3 linked regions of the Caenorhabditis elegans genome follow. The protein of the gene in region 3 purifies or fractionates together with the protein of the main gene of each other region. This does not show direct contact. Each region holds a gene or a part of one and is shown on either strand. Other genes may lie near its edges.

Region 1 (6,833 bases), on a different chromosome or scaffold from region 3:
TTAAAGTTATTTTTTCGGATTTAGCCCTGATCTTTACCTTATAAAAAACTCCGAAGAATCCCTTCTTCTCAGACAACAGCCAGCTACTAACACGTGGAACTCGTTTCAAATAAGCACAGGTGCAGATGAATAATAGAGCAGCAACGACAAGACCGTCAAACGAGTAGACTGAAAATTATACCGTATTGAGCTGTGTCAGCCATCGAAATCTGAAACTCACCGTTCATACAAAACTTGTAGAATCGTCTGGCAAGTAAAAAGGTCTAAAATTCAAATTTGAAAACTCATTATGAGCGTAAAAACAATATCAAACCGAGTTATACGGTACAAATATGAACAAAGACGTAGAGGTGAAGTATTCAATAAACATTTATTAAGAATTGATATAAATGAATAAAATACAAATATTGTTTTGAAAATATTCATATTATTTTGGAGTGTTAAATTTGGCAAAAAATTTCAGGTTTAAACTTTATAATTTCTAAAAGCCGAGGCAATCGATGATTGATATCGATCACCGTCGGACCAGCGTGATTTTTCAGATTTTTCAGATTTAAAATTTTGAGACAACTTTTCTGGTTGATTGGCTGCAATAGATGGTTGAGATTTTGGAACTGCCCAGTGAGTTGACTGAAATTTTTTATTTTCTTTTAAATAGAATTAAAAGTTTCAACAAAAAAGCACAAGGACCGAACCAAAAAAACTCAAAAACACATATCGGAGCCAAAATTACCATCTGAAAAGTGTCCTGAGACTTTGTGAAGTCTTCAAAAGAAACTGGAAACGGGGAATGAAGCCACGAATCGTAAGTTTTTCGACGAGAATCACTCGTTAAAATAGAATATGCATTCTGAAGAGGTAACAACAATTATTGTGCGTTTTATTGATATTAATTTATTTTATTAAACTTCCCTGTAGCTCCATGAATTTTTCAGTCGAATTCGTGTTGTGCTCCTTCACTTTATCCGGATGGCAGTCGCGAACCCGTGCCCGATATTCGGCAGTTATTTGATCTATCTGAATATAACTTAAATTATGAAAATATTATTTTAAAGTTTAACCTACCGAAGAGCTTTCATCACACCCAAGCAATCGATAGAGCTTTGGCTCTTTTGGTTTTGCATCCAAAACATCCGAAAATGACATTACGCTGAAGAATTCTGAAATATTATGATAGTTTAACAAAAATTATCATAAAAAATGTAAAAGGTATTCTCATCGGAAATTAAACCAGAGTAAGTTTTCAAAAAAATCAAAACATTTGAAAATATGTATTTACTATAACAAACATTTGAAAATCAACAAAAACAACAACGAACAATTGAATAACTATTAGATCTTGAACATTTCACGCAGTCTCAGGAGCATCTTCGTTTCCTGTATCAGCTTTCCGTTTTCGTTTTCCATTTGTGAAAAATGAATCTTTCTGCTTTTTTACTGCATCACGACGTTGTTTCTTCCAGAGCTAAAAAATGTATGAATAATTTATATTGGAAGAAGAAAGAAAAATCGATTAATAATGACACTTTTCCGCAAAAAGATTGAGAATGAGATTGTGTATGCGTAACGAGAATCAGACAGTTAGGGAAAATTTTGTTATTTATTAAGATGGTGGACTTATTTGATCATACTGGAAATTGGTATAACTTTCTGAATCAAAACAATTTGAAATCTTTTTTGTATTAAGACTCGCTTGAAATAATAAAACAGAGCTCAATAGTCGGTCAGGCTCAAAAAAAAAACTACTCACCTTGAAAATAGCATCTCGATGAGGTGCCCATTTATCAATAACTTTCTCCACTGTTTGAGTTCTTCTGAAATTAGCCGCTAAACTTTTGATTTTTTCATCCGACAGAGGATCGACGAAAAACTTTGTGCTAACTTTCACTTTGAGTAGAGATTTTTCGATTTTGTCAACATTTCCAGACGGTTCGGCTTTACTTTGTGTTGGTTCTATTTTCTTTAAATTTTCTCCATCATCTTCAACTGCTTCGTCATCATATTTTCTTCCAATCATTGATAAAAAAGAGAAACCTCCAGTTGACGGATCATCACCATCTTTTCGTTCTTTCATCTGAAAATAATTTTTGTGTGAAAAATGTTTTTTTTTGTTGAAAACTCACTTCAGCTGAAAACGCGTCATCCATTTTGAAAAAGATTTCAGCTTTCTCAAAGCTCTCATCACCGCTTTCCTCGTCTTTTTCAACGACTTCTTCCTTTTTCTTTTCAGTTGAATCTTCGTCTCCTTCGTCACTTCCATTCCCATCTTCGTCCGAATTTGTACTTTCTTCAGTTTTCTTGACTTTTTGTGGATTTTTCGAAGCTTCAAAAGCTTTCATCCATTCCAAATGCTCAGGATTTTCAGGATCGAAACGAGTGAATGGTCGAGCTTTAAGTGTTGAAGACTCTATAGTATTTGGTTTTTTCTCTTCGACACTTTTTCCTAGAATTTTAGACAAAAGTTCTCGATTTTTATCTTTTTCTAATTTCATTTCTTGCTTTTCCGAGCTCTGCTCCATATTTCCATCTTCATCAGAATCACTTTCTGCAAACTTGTCGTCCAATTTGAATCGGGGATCACTATTGAAACGTGATTCTAGGTGCATCAGCTTTTCGCCTAAAAATTGAAAAATAGTTTTGGTTTAATTTATTTTAATTTTAGACAATACCTTTAGGACCAGAGTGTCTATTTTTGATTTCAAAATCTTCCTCCTCATCTTTATCGTTTTCATCTTCAGAATCGAAGAGTTTTGGACGTTTTGAACTGCGCGAGGTTTTCTGAATTATTCCAACTTAGTTTACGAGTATTGTCTTTACAGCAAACAACTTTATGAAATCGGGCAATTGCTGTTATAAGAGATTTTTATCTCAAAAAATTGAAAAACTTCCAACCTTTTCACCATTCGCGGCTGTTTTTTCTGTTTCTTCATCCTGATCATCCCCATCATCCGAATCTTCAAATACAATGCGTTTTGTCGTTTTTTTGTCAACATTAGCAATGTCAGCAGCAATTTGACGATCTCTTTCTCTCTGATCTTGAATTTTTTGCCTCATCGCGGCTCGACGAGCTTCATCTGAACGTTGACGTCTCTTTTCATCATTGTCTTCATCGTCCATTTTCTGAGATACATTTTGCAATAGTTTTTATGTGATTCTAATTATTTGAAAATCGCAGAAATTCGAACGGGAGACAACCGTTATTTGACAAAACTCAAACAGAAAAATGGAGATCAAATTTATTCTAGATAGAAGTTTGAGATGAATTAATTCAATCTATTAAACAGTGTGTGAAATAAGACAATTAACAATTTGAGGAGGTCAGATCAACAGTTACAACCAAGAATGAGGCATATTTTATGAAAAAATGTACTCGTGATGACAGGCGAACATAGAAAAAAGCGAGCTTTTTTGCTCAATATGTATAAGTTTTAAAAACAATTTTCTGCCACACATCTTAGGTCGAAACAGAAATAACCAGAAACCTGTCAGAGTTTGAAAGAAAATAATGATGATACAAAAGAAATGAGCGAATTTTTAAATTAATACGAGAAAATCTGAAAAAAAGATTTTCAGAAAATCTTTTCTAAAAAATAAATTATCCTTCTAGAGCCCTTCTACAAGCTTCAAGACTTTCGATTTGTTGATGTGTTGACTCGTAAAGGCCAGAGCAAATATTAACAAATTTGGTAAGCACTCTACGAGCATAGTGTTCATCTTCAATTGTCATATCAAACATTTTCCACATTGATTCTTGAAGTTTATCCGGTTTTGATTCCAAAATCTCGTAGAATTTGTCGACATAAAACTGAAATTAATTGTTTTATACAAAATTAAATCATAATTTTTTCTCACCTTCACTTGATTATGACGATTCATTTGGGCAAGAAGTGTATCAGCTTTAGCTTCAATTACATCCTCATCAGTGTCAATTTGACGTGAATATCTTGATACAATCCATTGTGCAAGCATAACACGAACAATTCTGTACGAGAGAGTTTTATGGCGATTACGAATAATCTCCATCTTAACAACTGCATCTGCATGTTCATGCTGAAATATGTATGACATTTGTAAACTTTCATCAAGTTATAACAACTTACATTAGCTTCTTCAACACGATTTCCCAATGCATTAATTGCCTCGTGGAATAGTTTCGACTCGCCAACTTGAGCCTTCTGTCTGTCTCTTAATGCTTCCCATCCACGTACTGGAACAGGAAGAAGTTTGTTTGGAGCTGGGTTTTCTTTGATTGCTTGTCTCCAAATACGCTCATCGATTCCTGAAATGAATGAAATTTGATACAATGCGAGGGAGGAAAACGAAAATCTTTGTTAATAAATGATAAACATAGTAAAAATAACGAGTAAACTAACCATCAGGAACTGTCTCCAAATATCTATCTCTTTGTGCTTTCGACATTCCAACTTTAGGAAGAACCCTTGTTTTATCCACTTGCAACTGCGATTCTAATTGGGTCATTTTTGGAGCATCATTGAGGATTTGAGCAAGTTTAATAGCTCCTGCAACAAATCCGCCTTCTTTGGCGATAATACAGATTTCTGTGCATCCATCAGAAAGTGTTCTCATCGAAGTACCAGGAGCATATCGAACTTCTACATTTGGTCCGCCACCAAGAATAGCTTTGATAATTTCAAGAATTTTGTCACGGCGTTCTTCTGTGTTCAAGTTTGTAATAGGATGACGCAGCACCAAAGTTACAAATCCCTCATCGTCGGTTCGCTCCGAAATACGATTGTATCCGATTCCCTGAAACGTGACACTGTGCAAGTTTTCAGTGATTTATAAAATAAACTTACAACAAATCGTTCAAACAAGTTTCCTTCCATTGAAAACGATAGAAGCTGATTTCCATCTTTGTATGGAGCTTTTCCGACACCCAAACCGGCAGCAACTTGATTCAACTTAGCAACAACTCCATCATTATCATTTCCAAAGAGCTTTGGATCTCCGACAGCTTTCACAAATGGGTGATACTGCTGAAAAAATTTTATTTGGAAAAGCGCTCAGATATTCTTAAGATTCATTTAATTACCTGAATAACTTGTTGCTGCTGAACAACAGGCTGTTGTTGTTGTTGAGTTGCTCCAAGACCACCAAGAGTAGACCCTGAGCTGGAACCAAAAAATCCGCCTGTAGCTGGCTTTGCAGTACTCGATCCAAAAAGCGTTGATCCCGCGGCTGTTCCAGTCGACGCTGCTCCGAATGGGGTCGATCCTGAAAATTGAGCCATCAAAATTATCAAAGTTCGTTAATTAGACAATTATATTCCAGATTCACGATAAAATACTTGAAGCAATGTTTTAAAGCTAATTAGACATATCTAAATTAATTATTTTTAAGATTTAATATTAGGTTTAGTTTTTTTTTTTTTTATTCGGTTTTTGATCTGACCCACCAAGTCTACTCAATTCTAGAAATATGAAAAGCTAATACAAAGTTGATGAATACCAACCTCCAAATGTTGAGTAGGGAGGACGATAAGCTGCTGGAGCCACATTCAAGTTGTTTGCCGGTGATAGAAAAGATGACTGTGGGGCATTAGTTCCTGGTAACGCAGATGGTGTGGCAAAAGATGTTGGAGTATTACCAGAAAGACTACCAGCCCCCAAAGTTCCTGATTTGAATGCTGCCAATCTTGTGGCAACGGGTGATTTGGCAGTTTGTTGTGTGGATCCAATACCGCCGAGACCTCCAGATGTCGTTGATGATGTTCCGAAGAGTCCTGAAGTTCCAGAAGTGGTTCCAGATGCCGGAGAATTTGTGAAAAGCGTGCGGTTAGCGTCATTGGGTGCTCCAAACAAATTGCGACGGGCTGGTGAACTAACATTCTGGGTTGCTGGGGCTGGAGCTTGAGATGCTGATGTCGTAGGTAAATCGGGAAGATTTGGAAGATTCTTCGGCATGTCTTCTGCTTTGATTCCGGTGATGCCCCCACGTCGGGCAAACATTTCTGCAGACGCTCGAGACGAAGAAAACGAGTAGCAAAGAGCAACACGGGTGATAGAAGAACAGGCAAAGAAATCCGCACGACACCGACCACGACAGAGAAAAGTGAAGGTAACGAACACAATGACGACGAGAGAAGTAGAGCGATAGGAGAGAAATAACAATTTTGAATAAAAATTAAGCGCAAATCACAGAAGTAGAACCTTGGTAGGTCAAATAATTTGTCAGATCAAAAAATATATTGAGTCTATTTTCTTTTTTCATTCATTTGTTGCTGGAATTTAGAATATAATTTTTTGGTCCAAAATGTATTACTTCGATCAATATGATTTATCGATTTCCCCTCCTTATCATTGTCTAGCTTTTCTCTCAACGAGACCACACAACAGCTAATAGTATAAACTAAGTAGAAGTGACCGAAAATATCGATAATTTTGAGTAGCTTACCGGTTGTAGAAGCACCGAAAAGACTTGGAGTAGCTGTTGAAGTGGTTGGAGCAGCACCAAACAAAGTTCCAGCAGTTGAAGTGGTAGTAGTTGAAGTGCCTGTCTCTGAAATTTAATATATTTCGGTTTAAAATGCAACTTTGATTACGAAGTAAGTTGTGTAAAAGTAAAAATATCAAACTTACTTCCAAACAATCCTCCAGAAGGAGTAGAGGTATTTGTTGTTCCAAAAAGCGAAGGCGTTGATGAAGCCTGAGCAGTTGAACCGAACAGAGGCTTTGATGGCGTTCTGAAAATAATATTTTTGTATAAAAATAATACTTCTTAAAATACTAACGTGCTTCCAAACAAAGTTCCAGACGATGTTGTTGGAGCATTCGGCGTTGGAAACGTAAATGCCTGTTTTTGGGGAGTAGATG
Region 2 (8,496 bases), 4.6 Mb from region 3:
TGAAATGTTGTAGTTATAGGAAAACCGAAAATTGAAACTCTAAAAATGTGAAATTCATAAAAAAAAGTTAACTATCAAAAATAGGAAGTGAAAATGTTTTAAAGAGAATTTTTAATTACAATTGTTTTTGTGTTGATCGTTTTGGTTTTTGCTCTTTTTTAAAAAAAATCCATAAAGCATTTTGACTGAGAAGCAAAGAAAAACTATTACAAGCTCTAAAAATTTATAATCGAAAAAAGCATATGACGACACGAGATCAATAAAACAATATACTATTCTTCCCAACAACTAATCAAAAACAATATTTTCAGATGACGGGGGTGGTGGAAGAAGGCCAATGAGCAAAAGTGACCAATCAATGCGTAGAGATGTCCTCCACAACTTGATGTAGAGTAAGATGTCAGCTGACGGATAAGAAGAGGCCGTTCCCGTCTGGAGAAGCCTACCTGCCTTCTTGCTCATCACTCATGTGAAGAGGAAGAAGGGATAAGGTCAACTTTGTGAACAATTGGTTTTTATTTAGTGGATAAGGGTGAGAGGGAAAACAATTATGATTGGTTATGACAATGATCTGGTAAAATTAATGACTCTCAAATTTGTATCCAACTTTTTTTAGAAACATTCAAAATTGAATTTTCTTTCAAATTTTCCTGAAAAAATTATTATAGGTAGGCAGAAAAATTCATTTTTCAAGTCAACGTGAAAACGCGCTCCATTGTCAATTGAAAAAGCCCCGCCTCAGAACGATGGGTCTCGTAAGGTATTTGGCGCCAAAACTGCAAATTCATGTTTTCAATTAGTTTCATCCGTTTCGCATCAATTAATTTTGAACTACAGCCAACATTTCTTGAAAAATTGAAACTTGAACGGCCCGATACCTTTTTTCAATTTTGAATCAACTCAGAAAAATTCCCTTGGTATGTTTTTTTTTTAATTTTTGTGGACATTTCGTATGAAAACAGCAAAGATTTATTTTTGTATAAAATTCACAATTTAAAAAATATTTTCAAGACAAAATTTAAAATGCAATATATTTTTCAGCAAAGGGTTAGTATATACAGCTATAATCAGATTATTGGCATTGCTCTAGAAGTGAAGAATCCACGCATTTGGCAGCACTTGCAGAGAAAACAGCATTCGAATCAGCACATTCGTGTGGGATGAGCTGGCCGTTGGAGCATTTGTGGTAGTTACGGGAGCATAAAGTACTTGAGAAGAGCCCGTCGATGGAGCAGTCGTATGTTCCAATGGAGGCATCACGAATGAGCAATGCGTCTGAAAAATCGTTTTATTCAATTGTAATTTGGAATCACTATTACCTTCCATGCAGCATTTCAGAGAAGTCTCCGGGTAGTCACATATCAAAGAATTCTCATTGAAAACCAGACTCGGTGGGCACTCAAAAATATTCTCTCGTCCATTTTGACACGATAGAACTCGCGGGGTACAATCGAGAGCATAGAGACCATTGTCCATATTTGTGCAGGGCGTTAAGGCTTCACTGGCTTTGTAGTTTTCCATAAATCCAGATGATTCCAAGTCACACTCGTCAACGTTCCATTCATAGTCACACATTTGATTTTTCTCGGAAAACATTAGCCCATCTGGACAAAACATGACAATTGGAATGCCATTTGTACAGGCTGAAAATGATGAAGAGCATCTGCCAAATGAGAAATATCCGTCGACTTCGCCGCAGTTTTGTGGCTTTTCAGATTTTTCAGAACAATCCATCACATTTTTTGGCCAATCACAAGAGGAAATCGCTGGATTGAAGACAAGATTCGCCGGGCAATTTCTACGGTGAGCGATGCCTTCAGAACACGAGAAGAAAACATTGGAGCACTCGGACTTTGAGATATTTCCATCGGATTCACAATATTCTCCTGATACTTGAGAACATTCATCAATCATTCCTTTCCATGAACACTTTTTATTGGTTGGATCGTAGATAAGAGGTGTTGAGCAGCTGAGGAATCGAGGTGAGCCGGAGTTGCAAATAATATAGGAGCTACTGCAAGTGCCGGAGGAGTAGACGCCATCTTTGAGACTCTCGCACACTGAAAAATATTAGTGGAGAGGATTTGTCAGAAAATGCAATTTTTGGGCATAATTATTTTCACTTTTTCATACAATATTCTGAAACTTACAACACAATCTTTAAATATTTCTCTAGAGCAACATTTGGACTTTTTGTATAATAATTATTTTGAAAGTTTTCTGCATACTGAAGTAGTTTTCTAAGTCTATTTTATGAAAAATGTACCATTTTCTAGCAGCTCGTCGCCAGAAGATTCTCCCGACGAATCGCCAAATGTGATTTCTTCGTCTCCTGAGCTTTCACCGGAACCATCACCAGAAAACTCGTTTTCTTCTCCTTCCTCTCCACATTCAAACACATTGTGCCTCCAATCACAAAACTCCAGATTTTTGTGATAAACCAGATCCTCCGGGCAGTCCATATATCGAGCCTCGCCGCTGACGCAAGCTAGGAATCTCGGTTCACAGGCACCCAGAGGGTACATTCCGTCTCCAACATTCGTGCAATCTGAAATAAAATTTGATGTATATCGTTTTCAAAGCCCGACGACAACTACCTGTGACAAATTTCGAGTTTACAGTTGATATCGTGAGAAGTAGAGTCGTTAGACAAGGCAATAATCTCATTTTGCTGAAAACACGATATTTAATTAGAGAAAACAAATGATTTCAAAGAAAATTGTTAATTGATAAAAGAAAAACTGAAAACCTTGAAGAACATATTTCAAAATTGAAGAAAAAAACCAATTTCGCAAACTATAGTCAAAGCAGCAGCTCAAAGTTTTTGTCCACGGTCTCGAAGCGATTGGCTACTGTAATTTTTCAAATGATTTTTTTTTTCGCTGTTTGTGTCGAAACTTCTTATATTCTCTAAGAAACTGAAATAATTTTTGTTCATTGACTTTTATATTATACATTTTACATATGATTTTGTCATAAATCTTTCTGCCGTCTATACTCCTAATATTGTTTTCTAAAAAACTCATTTAAACCTCCGCCAAAAAAAAGTGCGACAGAGCACCTTTGCAATTTTCACTTTTTAGCCAATTTTTTCCGTGATTTTCTTCAAATAAAACCAAATTTTTGAATTTTATTCTGTTTTCCTATGATCAAATACAAACGTAAGTATTAAAATATTCTTTTTAGATGGCTGATGGACCAGATAAAAAACGCAGAAAGCTGACAAGTGCTCTCAAAGACGCAATCGGAGCGCACTCGCAAAAACCTGAGGAAAACATAGAAAAACCAATTGCTCTCGCACTTATTAGTAATTTTTTAACGCTTTGAAACATATAAAGTATTAATCTTCAGGCGACAACAAGGCCGCGCAAGACCTTCTCAACAAAATTCAAGCCAGTCGGCGCCCGCAAGCGATTTTGGAGGCAACTTTGAAGATCTGTAAGGAGAAGGTACTGAAAATAGTGATAGAGATGAAATAATAAATTAGTTTAATTCAGAAATCCGAAGCGCACGTTGATGAAGCGTTTCTTTCAATTTTCCGCAAACATTTCTCGATTCTCGGTGTGGATTCTGCCTTGGCATGCTGGAAATTGATCGAAGAACATCTCAATTCTTCAGAATCAATGTAATTTAAAAATTTCTGAATTTGAAATTGCAAAATGTAATTTTTAGAAACGAAATCAGAATTGCTAACGAGTTCATCAGTACCTCTAATCTTCTTGGCCATGGTTTCGGAAAACTTCTGCAAAACATGAAGCAAGGAATTCCTGTGGTAATTCAGAATACGTGGAGACAAGAACGTAAAGGTAACTATATAAATATTAAGAACTTAAATTCAATTTAAAAATTTCAGCGGACGCCTTAGCTCTTGCCTATCCCTTCCTAAGCCTCCTCCTAGCTGATCAGGTATATGGAGACCATCAAAATCTTGAATCTTTGGCAGAATTCTGGAAAAATCAAGTTTTACCGGAGAAATCCATGAAAAAAGATTTTGGAATGAGAATGGTCAGTGCTTTAGCCGGCGGTGAGCCTGGACAGTTGCCAGAAACGAAAATCGACGAGAATCAACTTGAAATGGTGAGAAATATCTTGTTTTATTTAAAAGTTTTATTTTAATTTTCAGCTCTCAAAGATCTACGAAAATCATCTGGAATTCTACACTGGAATTCTCTCAGAATCCACGTGCTCTCAGCTTCTTGCCAAAGTAATTGAGGATAATTTAGCCAAAAATGAGGTAAAAATTTGAAATTTTCAGACGATTTTATTTTTTAAAATTTCAGCTAAAGCAACTTGCCCGTCGATGCCAAACTGCTGAAGTATGCATGTCCCCGTGCATTTACTACGCGATGATTTCAGTTTTACGGAGCACTTTTGACCTCAACGATTCGGAGCTCATTTTCATCGAAAACTTGAAAACGTTGAAGTATGGTGAAAGTTTGATAGAAAATTATATAATTTTCATTGAAAAATAGCGAAAAATCAGTTGAAACCAATCAATTAATCTCGATTTTAAATTAAAAATCAGTCTGGATTTTTTTAAATTAACCTTTATTTTTTTTTTCAGACTAAAAGAAATCACAAAGCATCTCCCTTCAATCATCAATTCCTGCTCCAACACTCGCCAAATTACCGCTAGCAAGAAGCTTAAAAATCTCGAAAATCTTCAGGATTTCCTTCACAATGTCACAGAAAAACCGGAAAACGACAATTTCTCGGCTGCTTTTGCCCTTCTTTCAATCAATATTTCACTAATCTTCGATAACTGGAACTTTTGCGAGAAAATCCTGAAAACTCTACCGAAGGACGTTCTGGAAAAGCTGATAAAAGCAGGAAAGGGATCTGAAAATGAGAATATTTTGAAGGTTTTCAAGAAAGTGGCTCAGGAAGCTGCTCCAGTCAAATTTGTGAATAGAACCGCCGCGGATGTCGCTGAGAAGCTCCGAGAGCCGGAATTTGCAGTGGCAGAAGCCTTAAGCTTGCTCCAAGGAGTTCATACAGCGGAGACGAAAAAGGAAGTCTTTGGTAATCATTTTTAATTACAACTATTAAAAAAAATAATTTCTTTTACCCAAGTTTTTTGCAGATTCTGTTGTAAAATTCGTCGAAGAGATTCCTGGAGCCGAGAGCATTGACGAGATGAAGCTTTTCAAGTTGATAATTGAAATGTATGGTGGAAGTCAACTGGAATCATTAGCTGTTCAAGTAGTGTTTTCACGAATTGCTGCCGACGGTTGGACTGAAATGGATCGGGCTCCGGGAACCGAGAAATCTGATGAATCATGGTTTACAGTACTTGTGGAGACGATTGATCTGCTTGATATAGCAATGAAATCGGCGAAGAATTCAGTGCTAAAATCATTCACTGCACTTTTCTGTCAACTTTTTAGCCAAGTTTTGAAGAATTCTCAAAAATTCGTGAGGAATAGTCTGAACGCGGTCGCGTCGCGTACACTTTCGCCTGAAATGGAAACTGAATTTGTGCTCCGCCGTCATAAATTGAGTCAGGATTTGGCAAGATTAGTAGATGCAATGAAGAGGAATGAATCGTATTTTGCAATGGTAAGATTTTGAACATTTTAGAAAAAATTTAATATTCTTGAAAACTCGAAATAAATAAAAAATCAAAAACTGGGAGTTTTTCGATGGTTAAACTATTTTTGAAAAAAATTTTTAAAAAAGTATTTTAATTTGAAAAATTGTTTTTTGAACATCGTCCATTTGTCGATAATTAAAAAAATTTATACGAATTTTAATATTAAAAAAATCGTGAACACTATTTTTTGAGTCGTTTGTCTAATGGGGTTATTCAAGTAATGTAGCAAAATGCATTTAAATACATTTGTGACGTCACAAATGTATTTAAATACATGTTTTTATCTACTTGAATAAGGTTGTGACGTAATTTTTCTACACTTTTTAATTTTCCGACACTACTTGAATAACCCCATAACAAATTACATAAATTTTTTTCTAGTTTTTAAATATTGAAAAAAAAGAAGAAAAATTGTAGAAGTTGGAGAAGAGTTTTAAAAAACATTTAAAATTAAAGTTCTTTTTTGAAAACCCATTTTAAAACGTTTTATCTTTTTTTTCAGGATTGTCAAATTGATAAAAATGAGAACTAGTATTTCTTGAGAAATTTCCCTTTTTTTTAAAGAAGAAAATAGACATTTTAATTTTAAATAATCTGTAATAATCACTATTTCTTCTCGAACTCGATTTTTTTTAAAAATTCTGTCAACTTATTAATTTTCGAAATTAGGGGGAGCTTGTTGAGTATGTTTTGGTAAAAGTTACCAAGAAAAACGACTAAATTGAAATTTTAAAAAAACCTTCAATTATTCTCAAAAACGGTCTAAATTTTTATTCTTCAGCTGACTGCATCAATCATTGGAGACGCAGTATTCTATGGATCAGACAGTCTACTTGCCATGTCAAAACTACATTCACTGGCCGATAAAAATGCATCCGCGTTGCTCGCCACGAATCTTCCAGTTGTTGAGAGAACCCGATACAAGAAGTTCCTTTCTACGATCACGAGGGCTTCGAAGCGAATTTATTAATTGTTTTTTTTGTTATAATATCCATTTTTATGTTGTTGATTGTTCATCTTGTTCTGTTGATTTTTAAGTGTTCAATTAAAAAATTTATTCCAAAAAAACACAAAAGAGTTCAAAAAAGTCAATAGAATCCGCATCCATAACCACCATATCCTCCATACCCGAAATCAAAACCTCCGTATCCATATCCTCCATAAAATCCATTATAATATGGGTCGAACATAACACCACCTCCATAATATGGATAAGGGCTCATGATCACTGGCGGCGGAGCCATGACAACTGGAGCCACCGGAGCAGCACCCATGACCATTGGTTGGGATCCATAGACCACGGGAGCAGCTTGTTGTTGTTGAGGGTAAGCTTGAGCAGGTGCAGCCGGAGTTGCCTGGGGAGCTGCCTGAGGAGCTGGTGTAGGTGCCGGGACTGGGGCTCGCGGAGCAGACTTTCTCTTCTCCACTTCCTTTTCAACCTCTTTCTCCGTTTGGTCGATGCAAGTAAAAAGCTCTGGATCTTCAGGCGTTGGTGATGGCTCCGCAACTCTCTCCGGTGGTTCTGCAATCGTTACTCTCCTATTTTTGGGCTCCACGACTTTCTCAGGAGCTTTCGGTGCTGCTGGAGGTGCGTAGGCCGGTGGAGGTCCCTGTGGGATCCCTTGAGGCTGCTGTCGAGGGTATGCCTGAAAAATCGATATTTTCTTTTATTGATTTTCGGAAAATTATCGATTTTCCCTACCATTTGCTCTGTCGAGGCGTTTGGAGATGGTTGAGTGTGCTGACGATTCTGAAAAGTTGAGGTACAAGGAGGAGTTCTTGAGCTTGACTTCAAGGCGACCTTCGTCTGCCTTGTGTCTATTCAGTTTTTTTTATGGAACCCGGAACAGGGATTATAGGCAGGCACGGTCACCTCATATGAAACTTGGAGACTTACCATTTGGTCCGAGCGTTGGTTGTTCCGTTGATTATTTCTAGCTTTCTTCGATTGACAGCATCCCATTTTTCATCGATATATTTGAGTTCTTTTGATTATAAAGTAAGTTGGGAATAAAATTTTTTAGCGGCAAGTTTGAACATTTGAAAAATAAATCATTTCCAAAAAAATAACTGCAAGGCGTTCACGCAGAAATGGAAGCGGCCGACACTTTCCTTTTTCTAATGCCAGCAGTCGACACTTCCCGTGGATAAATTTTGGTGGATCAATTTGCCAGTTTCGGACCGATTAACTAATTTTTAGAAAACAATCTCAGACTATTTTTATTGCAAAAAAAGGATCAATTATCAATTATTTCTTATCGGAAATATTTTCAAGTCACTTCATCTTCTTCTTACTTTTCATTTGACATCTCGATTAAAACATAAACGGATCACAATAGAATGGATCACCGTAGTACATTCCACCTCCATAACATGGATAAGGATCCACAATGACCACTGGCGGAGGAGCAGCCACTACGACTTGCTGTTGCGGTGGATAGTATGGCTGTTGAGCCCCATACGCAGGAGGCGGTTGTGGCTGGTACGGGAGACCTGGAGACGGTTGTTGACGTTGAGGTTGTGGAGGCTTCTGTCCATTGGGAGGTGGAGCTTGTTGCTGCTGCTGCTGTCGAGGTGGAGGTGGAGGTTGATTCCTATTCTGAGGTTGATTCTGGGCAGGATAGGGGCCTGATTGGGTTCCGGTTTGATTCTGAAAATATAGTTTTTGAGACGAGGAATCTCTAAAAATGAATGCTGTCGAGATTGTAAAAGGTGTGCAAAACTATAGTGACTCTACAGTAACCAGGTAATAAACCTGCGCCAACCGTACCCCTAACAACACGTAGTACTTTGGTTTCAAAAGAGTTCGCAGCGAAAGCTGATGCAAGCTTAAGCGTACAAGTACAGTATTACTACAGTAACACTGTAATTACAACGATGAGCTACCGTAATCTTGCAATAAA
Region 3 (6,683 bases):
GAGCAGTTGCAGAAGAATACAAACAGCTTGAGAAAAATTGATAATACAGAGAAGCAACGCAAAGCAAAGAAAACAGATGTACGAGTTGGTCGAAAATTCGATGCTCTTCGAAACTTTATCGAGAGAAACATTGAAGAGGTGGCTAGAGATGAGCCAATTTCTGAACAAAAGGTCAATCATCGTAGCGAATTTTCAGAGCAAATCATCTTTGGTGATTATGAGAGAGGTGAATAAAATTTTTTTTTAGATCAAGGGTGTCAAGTCCCGTTTGTCCCGTTTATTGAGCGTTTTCACGGGAACGTCCCGCTGTCCCGGTTTTGTAATTTTTACGAGACATTGACACCCTTGTTTCAGATGAGTAAATCACGTAAATTTGTTTTTTTTATTTCAGGGCCAACATTTTTGACCGGAAATCTGGTTTCATCCGGGCTTTCTACGTTTACAATGGATTCGGAGGTGTGAATTTACAGAGCTAACTTAGAATTCAACTAACTATTTTCAGGTCTCTAACGATTCATTCGGAATCCCGGGAACGATGCCGTCACCAAAATATCTTGTCTCTCCAATCAGTAACCCTACATTTTCGAACAAGAAAACGCGCCTTATTCGACAGTGTCATCAACTCCACTCGAGGTTAGTATTAAAAAAATTCCTAATTTTTAAAAATCACTTTTCCAGAAATTGTGCGTATTTTGTGGAAATGAGCATCTTTCAATAGTTTGCACGTACTATAAAAGCCACATCGACCGCAGAAACATCTTGATTTCTAAGAAGAAATGTCTCGATTGTGCAAAGCCCCGAGAGGAGTGCCAAGATGGAGGGAAATGTGAAAAGGCTCCTCGATACTGTCATCGTTGTAAAACCGACTCACACATGAACATTTTGTGCCCGGAGATGTTTCCAGAAGTTATCGTCATTGATGATTGAGCTGTCACTAACTAGCAAATTCTGAATGTTTTCTTTTCTACTGAAATAAACCCTCAATTGTTTGAAACTCTTGATTTCTTACTCACGATATTTCAGGCAAAACTATTACTCATTTAAAAATCTTTTAGTGTGACTCATGGCTCTATGTGAAAACGTCATTATCGATGCACTTTATAAAGAGCTGATCAGTTTGAAGCGAAGAAAGATAGCGAGAAGAAAAGAAATTCTGAAGTATGCCCAACGAATTGCTAGATCATCGGGAGCTTTTACAAAGATGGTGAGGTTTGAAATAAACGTCACATTACATGGGTCCTGCCACGATAAAAATGAGTTACAGTAACCCATTGTCAGCGTGACGAGACCTAATGTTTGACAAAAACCCATCTTTAGACGTATACGTAGTCCTGTTTGCAATTTCAGATTCAAATTGGGGACTCGGGAAACCGAATGCCAACTGCTATAGAGAGCGAATACAATTTCAACTTCAGCAACGATGATATCAGCACTGAGATCCATCACAACGAAGAACCAACATCGAAGCCAGTGTCGTCGGAGACTTGTAAATTCTGTGGGAACAGACATTCTACAGATGAATGTACTGAATACACAACAGGCGAATCTCGTCGAGCACGTCTACAGAAGCTTCTCCTGTGCGTGTTTTGCTTCAAACAGGCTCACCCGTCGAAATTCGAGTGTGCTCGTCAACAGATGAATGTCAAGTGCTGCAGATGTTTGCGATTCGTACACCATCATGTTGCATGTGACCCACATACGAAGAAGTTTCAAATTAACTGGTAACCGTTTGAAACTATATAGTTGACTGAAATAAAATTCTAATTTTTCAGATGTACTTCTCACTCAAAGGACAAAACTGAATAAATAATTCTTAATTTTTCGAAATTTTATAATCCGAATGAAATCTTACTTTTTACTTGCATAATAATATTTCCCTCTACCTCGTTGATTCGATTCATACTTCAATTATTAAATCCCCTTATTCAACCTTAAATTAGTTGCAGATTAAATATCATAAATTATGCAAACATCCGCTCAAAAGGTTATTCAAGACTTGACCAATCGAGTACAAGCCGAGAAAGAAGAATTAGAACAACTTGAAAGAGAACGAGATTTGTGGAAGTACAATGCACAAATGAATGACAAGGAGGCTTTACGTGGAAATGAGAGAAAAAAGGTATGCGTATACCAAATTATGCAATTTTTGCCACAAAAATACGGTCTCAACACGAGCTAAATTTCGCAGCTACCGTAACACAAACATGCAGTATCTGCCCTATTTGTGCCACAAAAATCGCGAAATTTGACTAATTAATCAATAGGTTCAAAATTTCAGAATATCATGAAAAAAGGAGGCCCATTATGCTATTTTTGCAACAAGAATCATGTCCCTTCACTGTGTAGAACGTACCCAGACGGAATTTCTCGTCAGAAAAGTTTGGAAAATCAAGGAAAATGCATCAAATGTCTCAAAATTGGCCACCAAAACGGAGACAATTTTTGCGAAAAACATCACATTGTGTGTAGAACTTGCCAACAATCACATGTGAAGGCAGTTTGTCCAATTTTATATCCGAAAAAGGTAAATTTCATCCGGTGGAGTTGGAGAAAGTTCATATAATGTTTTTTTTACAGGACACTCCACCTAAAATATTGCGGGCTCGCAGACGTTCTCTAATTCGTGCACAGAAGAAAAAAGACTTCCAGGAGCCAGAAAACAAGCACGAGCAACTTACGAGCACAAAGGCGCCATGCCAGGAAAATTGGAGTGATTTCTAAACGACTAACTATTCTCACTCATATATCAAGCACCCAAAGTGTTTCCTTCTTCTCAGTAATTTATCATTAAAGTTTCGAGAAAGCCAACCGTAATAAACCGATTTTCAATTCATAGATAATCTTTATTAGCTATGAAACAGCTCAATGGTTATAATCAGTGGAAAAAATATTAAAAGTTTATTGAAATCAAATCGATTAAAAAACAGATTTTGATATGGAACATGATGTGCATAGAAAATGAAAACATGCGTTATCGCAGTTTGAAAGGGAATAAACAAATACAGCTTAAAATACGAATGAATTGTAGATCTGCCGGAGATTCTAATACTATTCACAGTTGAATTACTAATTGAAGAATTCGTCGAATTCGTTTTCGGTGACCACTTCTTCCGTCGATATGTCACTAGCGTCACGACTGCTTGAATCTGCCGTGCCAACAAAAAGAGACGAATTGTCACCATCAGACAAGGATTCTTCATCTGATTCATCTGACAAAGCTTGCGGGTCTGAAATTAAGATTCGATTGTTGTCAATTGAATTGAATAATTTAATACCAACCACCATAGTGTTCTCGATACCATCGTCGAACACTCATCTGCTTGGATAACACAGGAACATGCTTCAACTGATTCCCAGCATCTTGTTTATTCTTGGACTCTTCAATGGCATGAGCAATTCCTTCCGCGACCCGTTCCGTGTTATTGCTGTGACTTCTGAAATCATCGATTTTCAGATTGTGCACATCTGAAAAAAAAAACTATTAATAACGAGTCGAAATAATCAAATAAATTACCGATGGCTACACCAATCTCCCTGATGATGTCTTGTCGCAGCACATGCTCAATTCTTTTCGTTTTCAAAGAATCCATATTGTGGCTCAATTCACGAAACTTTCGCATCCTGCAACATTTAGTAATTATATTTATATTCGTTATCAACAACAGCTTACCACTCGACGTCTTTGAACAATTCTCTCCATTCCATCAACTGCTGCGTGACAAATGAAACCAACACATCCGGCAATCGATGACTCTCAACAACTGCAGCAACGTCACGGAGATCCTCGAATCGAAAGCAATCCATGACATCATCGCTGCGGTTCATAAGCTCTTTGTAGAAGGATCTCCAATATGTTTGTGACCTGAAGTAGACATCGAGAGTGTTGGATTCCTTGTGAAAACGTTTTATCTTCTTTTTCAGCGGGCAAAGTATTTGCATTTCAATCTCTGAAAAACAAAAGTATAAATTGAAAATTTCAGAAAAAATTCAAACTCACTATCCAAGTGATCGATTGCGGTTTTGGCAGATCGAAGAAACTTTTGAAACTCTCTGTCATAGTTTGTCTTCAATTTTGAGACGTGAGGAGTGTAGAAACCTGAAATATAAAGAATTAGAGATTCCGCTAAATCTTTTATTGATAAAACATACCAGAGGCGGAATGTGCCCTGTGCGTTTGCCGACCCATGGGTATCGGAGTTCCTGGCATTTGCTGCCTTTGCCGTTTTGCTTTTACCGGTGTGTTCATCTAAATTGTACAAAAATTGACCAAATGAAGCAAAAAAACAACGAAGAAAGCTATGTATTTAAGATAAAAATTAATTTTAACAGTGTAATTGGCGCCCGAATACCCGCTTGTTCAATTTTCGTTTCGAGACCCACGACTGGAAGATGGGCACGCACCTTGAAATGTAGATTTACGGAGCCGATCGATTTATTTTAGAATTTTTATAAAAAAGATGAAATAAAACCCGTCCGAAAAGTGAGAGAACGTGAGTAATTTAAAAAAAGAGATATCAGTTGCATCCGGGGCATACGTGTAGAGACTCGTGAAGAAGAGTATCACAATCGAGACAAAACACAAGCTGGCAACTACCACAGCGAAAACCTTCACCAGATAGACGAGTTTCACATGCGTAGCAGAATCTGAATATCTTAATTGTCTTATATATTTTTTTCTTAAATCTGACGTACCCTCGTGTCACTTCAATTTGCTCAAAAGCTGACAGCGGCTGAAGATGTCGAAACGCTCGAGCAAGCTGTGGAGCTGCGACAAGTGTAAGTTTGCAAACCGGGCATTCAGCTGGAATCGAGCAGTGACGTGCTCCGCACTGTGTACAAATGAATCCACGAGATGAGATTGGCTTCGTGTCAGGATGACTGAATTAGCAAAAATTAGCTTTAAAAGAAGTTCATTTAAAAAAACCTCACCAAACACAAAACGATCTTGTTGTAATCAGCTCGTGGTGTGGAAATCCAACATGAATTGCGTTGCATTCACTCGATTTTGCTGAGGACGGTGGGAGTGTATGCTTTGAGAATAAAAGTTGCAGATGGTCAGGGTCAAGAGCTACGGAATATTCTCCTGTAAATCATTATTTTGGAAAAGTTTATTTTAAAGAATAAAATAAAAATCACCTTTCGTTGCTTTAGCCATTTCCTTGCAAACGAACATTTCAGCAGACAGTCCAATAGCAGAACAACGAATATTCATTCGCTTCATTGTCTTGAAAATGTTACAGATTAGAAAAATCTACTTTTTTAGTCAAATAACCTCAATAGTGCTGTAAATATTTCCAGGATCAATTGTTGAAAGTGCTGATATAACGAGAACAACTTCTCGTGATACATGACCCGGCATTCCTCTAAAAATCAATATTTTATATTCTGAAAACGATTTTTAACTTACTTCAGGTTGGCACAAGCTAATTGAAGAGCGTTTTGAAGAGAAAAATCGCCACCACAGAAAGCTTCAGTTAGTGTGTTCAGCGATTCTTTTAGCACACGAATATTTCCTGAAATCCGTTGAAAAAAAAATTGAAAATCTCGAATATTGAGTCTAACCTGTCATCATTGTCAACCGATCTGCTTTACGATCTTTACAAGTGATCAATCCAATCTGAGCAATTGGATTTTGCTCGAAGAATCTGTCCAGGAAGGTTTGTAGAGCCTGGAAACATTCAAATACATGTCAAATAAATCGTTTTTCTAACCTTCATAACAACTACAAATCTCGATGGAGGCATTGCCTTGCTCGTCATGAATCGTGAGCAATCGATGACAATCATGACGTGGCGCATCTGAAATTAATTTGGAATTGCAATTTTGTAATTGATTTCATTTTATTGTGTTACAATTCCGAGGCGAATCCGTTCCGGTCTCTTCGTCAATCGGGCTTTTCGTTTGCTATCAGCCACGTATTTGGCAATTGATTTTTCGATAGATCCACCTTCATCTTCCACAAGGACATCATTGATGTTCAGGCCTGAAATTTAACTGATAATGGCTTATATTTCATAAATTTATTGAATAAGTGGTGATATTACTCGGAAACAAAAGTTTTGTAATTTTTGGGTCAAAAATACAGTCCAAAGTCTCGACACATCAATTTTTTGTTAAATTTTAAAATGTGTGAACCTTTAAAGAGTAATGTAATTTTAACCTTAAATAAAATATACGTTTTTTATCGAAAAGCTACGGAAAATGATTGAAATTCTTTAGCAAAAACAAGATTTTTCAATTCTAGTTTTTTGGGTATTAAAATGTTTTCCGATATTTTGAAAAATAATGTTTTTACCATTTTTTCTCCTTTAATTTTCGTTTTTCGCTGTTTAATTTTTGATTTTTTTAGACATTTTCTGAAAATATTGTTAAAATTAAATTTCCAAACCTTCTGCATATCCTGCTTCCCAGGTGTAACCCTTCTGCTCATCATCATCCATATTTATCTGAAACCTAGTAATACTTTTCACCTTGAATCCGGCGCGCACTTATAGGAATCCACACTGATAATAATTTCATCAGATTTAAATTTAATCTGAAAAAAAAACAAAACAATGCAACAAATGACGACGATTATTATTTGTTTTTTAAATTTTCTTTTTAAGCACATAATAAAAGCCACTTCCAGATGGGTGCGAAAAATGGGAAACCAGTAGACTATGAAGTTCGAGGGGCATTCAAAT

What was found.
Region 1: the proteins of hal-2 (region 3) and K07F5.14 purify together in Caenorhabditis elegans (affinity purification with mass spectrometry, with the first as the bait; one study listed by BioGRID). This does not show direct contact.
Region 2: the proteins of hal-2 (region 3) and R02F2.7 purify together in Caenorhabditis elegans (affinity purification with mass spectrometry, with the first as the bait; one study listed by BioGRID). This does not show direct contact.

Annotation. Positions count from the first base shown.
Region 1 is NC_003282.8:9,858,508-9,865,340, reverse strand, and holds K07F5.14 (NUC153 domain-containing protein), read right to left. Parts: upstream 3,121-6,833; 5' UTR 3,118-3,120; coding exon 2,893-3,117; intron 2,779-2,892; coding exon 2,670-2,778; intron 2,618-2,669; coding exon 2,124-2,617; intron 2,075-2,123; coding exon 1,751-2,074; intron 1,466-1,750; coding exon 1,349-1,465; 3' UTR 1,274-1,348; downstream 1-1,273. Other genes in the region: K07F5.22 (Protein kish), read right to left, coding at 38-168, 221-227; K07F5.16 (J domain-containing protein), read right to left, coding at 466-630, 734-853, 916-1,017, 1,066-1,146; npp-1 (Nucleoporin Nup54 alpha-helical domain-containing protein), read right to left, coding at 3,596-3,805, 3,853-4,050, 4,101-4,279, 4,374-4,767, 4,818-4,997, 5,054-5,235, 5,474-5,743, 6,415-6,519 and 2 more.
Region 2 is NC_003281.10:5,478,464-5,486,959, reverse strand, and holds R02F2.7 (Myb-binding protein 1A-like protein), read left to right. Parts: upstream 1-3,186; coding exon 3,187-3,307; intron 3,308-3,351; coding exon 3,352-3,449; intron 3,450-3,497; coding exon 3,498-3,625; intron 3,626-3,672; coding exon 3,673-3,806; intron 3,807-3,853; coding exon 3,854-4,077; intron 4,078-4,123; coding exon 4,124-4,234; intron 4,235-4,280; coding exon 4,281-4,423; intron 4,424-4,564; coding exon 4,565-5,022; intron 5,023-5,083; coding exon 5,084-5,559; intron 5,560-6,374; coding exon 6,375-6,563; 3' UTR 6,564-6,657; downstream 6,658-8,496. Other genes in the region: R02F2.4 (Chitin-binding type-2 domain-containing protein), read right to left, coding at 1,073-1,275, 1,320-2,060, 2,267-2,548, 2,598-2,667; R02F2.5 (Prion-like-(Q/N-rich)-domain-bearing protein), read right to left, coding at 6,682-7,239, 7,296-7,343, 7,491-7,556; R02F2.6 (uncharacterized protein), read left to right, coding at 8,036-8,278; R02F2.10 (Prion-like-(Q/N-rich)-domain-bearing protein), read right to left, coding at 7,908-8,243.
Region 3 is NC_003281.10:10,084,340-10,091,022, forward strand, and holds hal-2 (Coiled-coil domain-containing protein), read right to left. Parts: upstream 4,515-6,683; 5' UTR 4,402-4,514; intron 4,247-4,401; coding exon 4,150-4,246; intron 4,097-4,149; coding exon 3,998-4,096; intron 3,948-3,997; coding exon 3,671-3,947; intron 3,622-3,670; coding exon 3,515-3,621; intron 3,466-3,514; coding exon 3,280-3,465; intron 3,228-3,279; coding exon 3,067-3,227; 3' UTR 2,849-3,066; downstream 1-2,848. Other genes in the region: T16H12.13 (uncharacterized protein), read left to right, coding at 1,064-1,204, 1,348-1,725; T16H12.2 (uncharacterized protein), read left to right, coding at 1,964-2,119, 2,279-2,524, 2,578-2,721; gtf-2H2C (General transcription factor IIH subunit 2), read right to left, coding at 4,515-4,644, 4,693-4,878, 4,930-5,083, 5,137-5,224, 5,273-5,363, 5,408-5,513, 5,563-5,668, 5,712-5,798 and 2 more.